2 linked regions of the Xenopus tropicalis genome follow. The protein of the gene in region 1 interacts with the protein of each later gene in a biochemical or structural test. Links are inferred from orthologs where the notes say so. Each region holds a gene or a part of one and is shown on either strand. Other genes may lie near its edges.

What was found.
Region 2: the proteins of spi1 (region 1) and irf8 form a complex in vitro, tested with the Homo sapiens proteins (3 studies listed by BioGRID). The link is inferred for Xenopus tropicalis from reciprocal best matches to the Homo sapiens genes SPI1 and IRF8.

Annotation. Positions count from the first base shown.
Region 1 is NC_030680.2:15,874,808-15,878,307, forward strand, and holds part of spi1 (transcription factor PU.1), read right to left. Parts: intron 733-3,500; coding exon 642-732; intron 366-641; coding exon 163-365; intron 1-162. UniProt on the Homo sapiens protein: Pioneer transcription factor, which controls hematopoietic cell fate by decompacting stem cell heterochromatin and allowing other transcription factors to enter otherwise inaccessible genomic sites.
Region 2 is NC_030680.2:64,720,716-64,724,920, forward strand, and holds the start of irf8 (interferon regulatory factor 8), read right to left. Parts: upstream 2,801-4,205; 5' UTR 2,695-2,800; intron 1-2,694. UniProt on the Homo sapiens protein: Transcription factor that specifically binds to the upstream regulatory region of type I interferon (IFN) and IFN-inducible MHC class I genes (the interferon consensus sequence (ICS)). Can both act as a transcriptional activator or repressor.

The sequences.
Region 1 (3,500 bases):
GGACAGTGGGAGATAAATACACGAGGGTGGGGGCTTAGGCTGTACTATTTGTGGAGTGTTTCTACTTGATATGAATAAGAAATGTATTTTATGCAGACGGTCAGTGACTCAGGAAGATGTGTTCATTAGAGGAACCATGCCAGTGTCTGAGGTAGGAGGTACCTGATGGCCTATGCTGAGGTGTGGGTGTGGCGTGGGCAACCCAGGTTCCAGAACATGCATCTGCTCCTCCATATGTCTGTAGAGTTGCTGCAGCTGGGGAGGTTGAACACTCTGCAGTTCCGTCAGCTGGGAATCAGGGAATCCTTCCAGTTCTCCATGTAGATGAGGGGTGGGATACTCCCAGTAATGTTCTAAGAGAGAAGCTGATACAGAGTTGGTATCATTAGGTGCAGTCTATCCCTTGTTCTGCTTTCAATATCCAGCCCACCCATTTTATTACTCCTGCAAACCAATTCACCTTGCAACTAATTCAATATACTCTAATGAATTCTCTAACTGTTCTCTTTTCTGCTGTTCTTTGCTGTAACACTAATAGGCCCAGAGTTTGACCCTCCATTTTTTTTGTGTGGTCTTTGCCATGGTTGCTACAATGGTAATTGCTGCGAAATACAGTTTGTGCAAGTGTCCCTTTTGCTTACCATGGCTCTCACTGTCACTGAGGTACGGGTAGTATTCATGATGTTGGCGGTAAAGCTCGGCATCATAAGCGATCAGCTCCTCCGGATGTGCCTGAGAAAGGAGATAGACCAGTCACTGACAGAAACCTAACCAGTAGCTACAGAATCATTCATACAAAACCAGCCTAATGGATTCCATGATCATCGCTAGTCATTTGTTAAACAGAACCCTCATAGCACCAAACAAGCAAAGGCGCGATACTGTTGCACAGTGATCCCCAACCAGTGGCTCAGGGGCAACATGTTGCTCCCCAACCCCTTGGATGTTGCTCTCAGTGCCCCCAAACCAGGGAGTTATTTTTGAATTCCTGACTTGGGGGCAAGTTTTGGTTGAATAAAAACAAGATTTCCTACCAAATAAACCCCTGTAAGCTGATAGTGTGCATAGAGGCTGCCTAATAGCCAATCACAGCCCTTATTTGGCACCTCCATGGACTTTTATGGTTGGGGGCCCCTGCCGTAGCGTGTAGATCCTTCAGCATAGGGCAGTCATCAATAAAATGATTATTTTGGTGGCCATTATACAAGATGCTTATGGCCTCTGGCCAGAACCCAGTTAAGCTACTCGTATATTTTTGGCTGTAGGAGGGAATAAACAGAAACAAAAGATAAAAGAACCATTTTTGTTGGCATTGAACCAAGACTCCAGTGGTGCGAATAGTATAAAGTGTGATATTATGTTACAAATAGCTTATTTCATTGGTCAGAAAGTGATTCACTGTGACCCAGGGTGCAAATGCAATGGTCACAAACTCCCACTCTTTAATGTTCCTTTAAAAACCACTTGTGTCTGGGGACTGGCTGCCGTCTCCACCAAACACTGGGCTGGAAGATCTAAAGTTCTTTGTCAAGATGTTTATTAACACAAAAAAGTAACGGCAAAACCTTATAAAAATGGAAACAAAGGAAACCCAACATTCTGAAAAAAAATCTATTTGTGTGTCCGTTCTTCAAGTCCCAGTAACTGGAAATAAAGGCAAGTACTTGGTACTGAGGGGTGTGAAACTGTCGTGCAGGGGATCGGCCACATTTCTTAACAACTCCTCTAGTGTTGGTTTTTACATGTTGTTACTTGGAATCACTGATGGTAACACTTTCAGCATGGCAAACACTTGAAATAAATACTAACACCCATTTGGCAGGCTAGACCAAATTCCTCTATGTTTGCATAGTATGTGCACATCAGGGTATGAAGAAGACCAACAAGGTTGCAGGAACTGATCTCATAGGGTCTGCAGAACTGATGAACCAGAGTGCTCATTCACCATAGTGGGGCAATGTGCGCCCCTGTGTGCCCATTAATTAATAATGGCTCCCTTGTTTTACGAAGGGTAGGGGATCCCAAGAATTTCACAGATTGGCAATGTGCGTATATGCCCATCAAATGCAAGGAATAACCCTAGGAACTCAAGTTAATGGAGTGCGCATACAAAGAGGTAGTAGGGATGGGGCTGTGTGCTGAAGTAGAACTTGAGTGCTCTAGAACTGCCTGGAATAGTGGCACTGTTTATTGTAAATCTGGTTCCAGTCATGAGTTCTCACCATTATGAATACCAAGGGAGCTGGCATAATTACGGGAGCTGGCTATGCACTTTGAGATCCACTTGTTTGGCAAGTTTGATAAAAATGAGTGGCTACACACACGGGTATAGGAAAAGTTGGTCCAGGGACCGCATCAACGAGCCGTTGCGGTCCCCGATCCGACTAGATTTTTTAACCTGCCCAATCGAGATCTGGCTGATTTCAGGCCAGATATCGGTCAGGCAGCCCCGTCGGTAGTGCCCATACATGGGCCTATTAGCTGCCGAATCAGTCTAAGGGACCAATATCAGTAGCTAGAATCGGCCCGTGTATGGGGACCTTTAGGGCCAAATTGGGCCTTGACCAAATGATCAGATTATATTGTGGGCTTACAGTATGCTCAATTGATATCTTGCCTGGAGGGGGGAGTTGGCATCTTTTATCTGTTAGCCTTAACCTTTAGGGTGGCCATAAATGACCCAACAAGGTACTCTGTCCAATCAATGCACCCTCAGGTTGAATGGATAGTAGGGATTAGTTTTATCAGCTGACTGGGGGCAGTGACAAAAGGGGGTGGGGTATTACATAAATGGGGGTGTGGCCAGAAAGGGGTGGTGCTACAGTGCATCAGGCAGATAGAGAATTGATGGAGGATAGATTGGGGAAGGAAAAAGTTAAGATTGAGTTGGGTCAAGGTCTTAGGTGGGCGGGCCAAGAGCTAAATTTAGTGATATTAAAATTTTACCAGCAACTATATAGCCGGTAAATATGTAATACCGGCCCCGGCTTTGGCAGGTGTTTTAACAGCCAGGTGGTATCCCTATTGGATAGATAGGTATGACTGCCTTTCTACTGGGCTATTTTAAAATAAAGAGAAGCTGCAGATACATTGTTCGAACAGGCCTGATCCCTAGACCAACTCATCAGTGGGAATGGCACCCCACCAAGGCCAGCTTAAATCTACTGAATATTTTGTTTGGAAATTTGGGTTTTGGAAATAAATTTCTTACCTCCTGTCTAGAAACTCTGTTATAGCAGGAAGTGAGGAAAGCAGGGGGTTTCTGTTAGAGAACTGCACCCTATATCGCATGTTCTATCTAGTTCTGAAACGTATTTGATAAGTATCTCGGAAGGTTACAACACTCTCCTGTAACGCTCTCTCATAGATACTGTATATCATGACCTGCATGAATGAGAATCTTTATAGACATATAGGGGCATACTAAGCAATTAGGAGATAAAGTCGGATTTTTTTTCCTACTTCTAGATAATCTCGAGATTTACAAGTGGGTTTTCACC
Region 2 (4,205 bases), about 49 Mb from region 1:
TTTCAAACTACTGCCTGGTTGCTAGGTTAAACTGGACCCTAGCAACCACATACCATCTAAAATACCAAACTGGACAAATAAGAAAACTGCTAATAAGAAAAAATGAAGACCAATTGCAAACAGTCTTAGAATAGCACTCTCTACATCATACTAAAAGTTCATGAACAACCCCTTTAACTATTTGTAAGTGGCAAGGTGTTACAACAAAGCCATATTTCAGCATTTGAGGAATGTGCCAGGATTCAGATCAGAATGCTACCAAATCTCAGCATTTTTGCAGGTTTAAGTCTCAGACAGATCTTTCGATGAATCTGTTTTGGATTCAGATTGGTATTCAGTCAAATGTTTTCTGAGATATTGGTATTATGGATTTGGTGCATCACAAATGCATATTATAATGCTATCAGCATAAGAAACATCAATATCTAAAATAATCTAAGCGTATAAATTACAGATGAAAGAGAGAACACTAGGGGTAATTCAGATACCAGGAGTAGGTTTTCCCATGCGCAGAAATCCAGGCTGCAACTCTTTTCTAAAATTCTGAGCTTGATGGCTTAGATTTTTTAAATATGAAAGGCAGCATACATATTTAAATATCCATAGGGGTTTGCATTCAAGGTTCTGTATTTATATTATGCTAGTAGTTTTCTGCAAGACTAGGTGGAGAAACATCAGGAATGTTTCCCTTCAGCTCAGTTGGAGGTTACCTGTTAAAAGGTAATGTTAAGATATTTGTGTGTGTGGTTCTGCAGGTCTGTGTCAAACTGTGAATTGTGAACATTTTACAACAGTACAAACCACTATATAACACTTAGAGCACTGCTAAATTCTGTGTTTTGAAATAAGACTGTACCTAGAATCCTCAGCTCATAGCTTTTTCCCCCAAAAGTCATATTAATGACTTGATTTCCATGCCATATTCTTAAGGGCTTTGGGAAGCTAAAAAAAGATGTAAAGAACCTGAATCTTGTTTAATACTCACGTAGCATACAGACATAAGTGGGTATGTGGGAGTTAAAGTCAACAGATCTTGTACCACAGTAAACTCAGCCGACAGCCCAAGGTACGCTAGATATCACACTCACTGTATGCTGCAATATTGCTCTTGCTGGACCAACTACTGTTAATTTTCATTACAAAACTACACCACTGAATATTAACTTGCTCATCATGCAGCACATAAACACCATGAGGCTATAACACACATTACACATCACAGAACAAAAGTATCAGTCTTACAGTGATTCAACCTCCCAACAAATATGCTAACAGAGTGACATACCTCCAATCCATCAGGACTGTGAGGTGTCACAATCTAACAAGTTCCCTTTTAAAACTTTTACCATCCCTTTGAAAGCATGCCAGTCTGTGTGTACACAATGCACATTTATTTGCAAGTTAAATTACACAGTGGTACAGTGTGCAGCATATGAGCTAGAAAATAACATCTTCTTACCATATTTGAATATTTGACAATAAAATAATGATTACACTCTTAGAAGAAACAGCATTACAAGTACATGAATGGTATTTGGCAATGTGCTGAAGCAATGTTTAGGTTTTTATTCTTAGCTAGTTCAAAGGCTGCCAGACACCCTTCCTTGTTCCACTTTCTATACAACCCAGAACTGATCTATTGTGATTAGTGAGCTAGCACAGGCACTTACACCAGCTAATCCAGCCCAACGGACAGTGACATAAAAAAGAAATGCTCTAAAATGTTTGACTTTCATCTATTTTATATGTCACTGTATATGACAACACAGTTCTGTAAGCTGCTGTGCACCTTCCTTACAGAGAAGATTTCTTACCTGTGAAGAGGAGCTAGTGAAACTGAAAAAGGAATGCTAAATATGTTCATGCAATATCATTATATTTAACAGCTAATTTATATTACTGGTTTGGAGAGGGATGGATAGAGATAACTCCTGGCACTCCACTATGCCTACTATCTGTATTTCTTATCAGCTAAGAATATTATAGGATTGGGAGAGTTTAGTAAATGCCTACACTTAAAGCAGGTTACATTTGTGTACAGTTTTCTATATGACCATGATGTTGTCAAGTCCCTAAATAAAAGCAATAAACTAATTTCTGGCCAGCTACAAGTAGCAACTACATATCTACCTGTATGGCTTCCAATGTAGTCCATTATCAGGCTAATTTCATTAGGAGCCACTGACACCTCTATCTGGCAGGTGGCATGTTTCATTGATTTTCATTGGACAAGTATTTTATAATGCTGCCACCACAGGCAAATTCATAAATTCTGATTAAATCCTGAACCAAGAAGCAGCATATGATCTCCCAATATTCTATAAACTTTAGTATCCTCAAATACACAGAATAACCCGCCCCCTATATTAGTCTTTATATATCTGACTGGACAAGTATCCTCTCCTGTTTACCCCCAGCATGGCATGCCACAGCCTTTACCCTGAGACCCGCAAGCTGTCACTTCTCAGCTGTCACAGAGCAGCTAAAGCTCTAAATGAATCCTGAAAGCTGTTGAAGCCGAAATTGCAGCTGCATGTCCGGGTACAGCAATGGGCACCTGTGCCACAGCTCTACGTGACCGACTGCTCAGTGAGAGCAATCCTTGCTCGCAGGAAGCACAAGGTTCTGCTGAGAGCACAGCTCTACCTGCTCTAGTCACGCAACTAGTGGGTACAATGAGAATGAGACCGGTACCTTTTTAATAGCGTTAGTGCCTCTTAGTTCCTTGTTCAGAGTGCCAAACTCCTTCACTGCTACTTCGTCAGTGGCCCTGGTTACGCAGCAACTCACAGCATTTTGACTAAGAGACGAATGAGCCCACCCCCTGGCCGATAGACACAACGCACGTCCAATAGAGAGGGGAGAAGGGCATGACAGCCGTCCAATAGGCAGTAAGTATCGAAACCAGGCTCCTTCTTTTAACTGCGGTCTTTTCCGAGAAACTGCAGTCCATTTGACCCGACTGACTATATTACATGCCTCCCACGGGCACTGTGAGGAAACCGACCCTAATTACCCGAAACCCTGCACTTCTACAGGAAGGCTCAGGTGGTCTCCTCTTACACGTGGTTCGAAGGAAATTTGAAAACCAAGTATTCTAGAAAATAGACAATACACGTGGTATAACAGAGATATATGTAACAGAATTGTGCGAATAAGTGACAAAATAGGTACAGTAAAAAGGCTTAATAATAAACTAATAAGCAATTGTTTATTTTATATTATATACAAAGTCTGGAGGTGTGGAGAATAATTTTTCAACCTATGTGGTTACACAGGGTGCCATAAGGGGAGTTTGCCAGACTTACATTATATACCTCACAAGGGCCAAACATGGAGCAGCTTCAAGAAACAACAAAAAGCATTTAATGTTTATCAGAGGCAGCCCAAGCAGGCTGGGCCCCTTAGACAACCCAGCCAGCCACCCCGCTCTTCCCCCTAATGCGCCAAGCAGCGGCGGGAGCCCCGGTGAGCCCTTCACCCCCCAGTCCGACCCTGGGTGGAGGGTGACTTTTTTGTTTGGGGAGGCTAGAGATGGGCCATACATAGACTGACCTAAAGCTAAAGTGAGACTTAGTGGATTCGCTGCTGCTGTACAAAATATCTCTTGCGGTTCCCACTAACTCCCAGGGATACTGTGAAAAAGTGCGGATGGAAGTGCTCTTTTCACCCTAAAATGCTTAGGATGTAAAGGTATTCATACATGCACTTCTGTGAGGGGATCTCCAAGCATTTGTTTTTGTGATCAGTTAGCTTAAATGTGTTTTAGTTTTATTGAGAGAAAGGCAGTGGGTTCTGACATCCCAGGCACATTATATACAGTCTGTATTTACAAAACCAGCACATTATATGCAGTGGGTCAGGGCCGCCATCAGAAATCACAGGACCCCTCACAACAAAATTTTCTGGGCTCCCCTCCCACATGGCCCCTCCCATCGGTCCAAAGGACACACAGACAAAAATATATCAGGGCCCCCCATACACAGTGCCCTCATAATGCTATGCTGACTAGGGCCCCCCTAATCCTATCCTGGCCCCAGCCCCCCATACACATAGCCCCCAATTGGCCCCCCGAAGACAGTGCCCCCAATTGCCCATACACAGTGTCCCCAAAGACAGTTCCCCCCTAACGCTATGCTGGCCAGGGCCCCCCATACACAGTGCTCCCCAAAGACAGTGCCCCCCAATGCTATACTGGCCAGGGC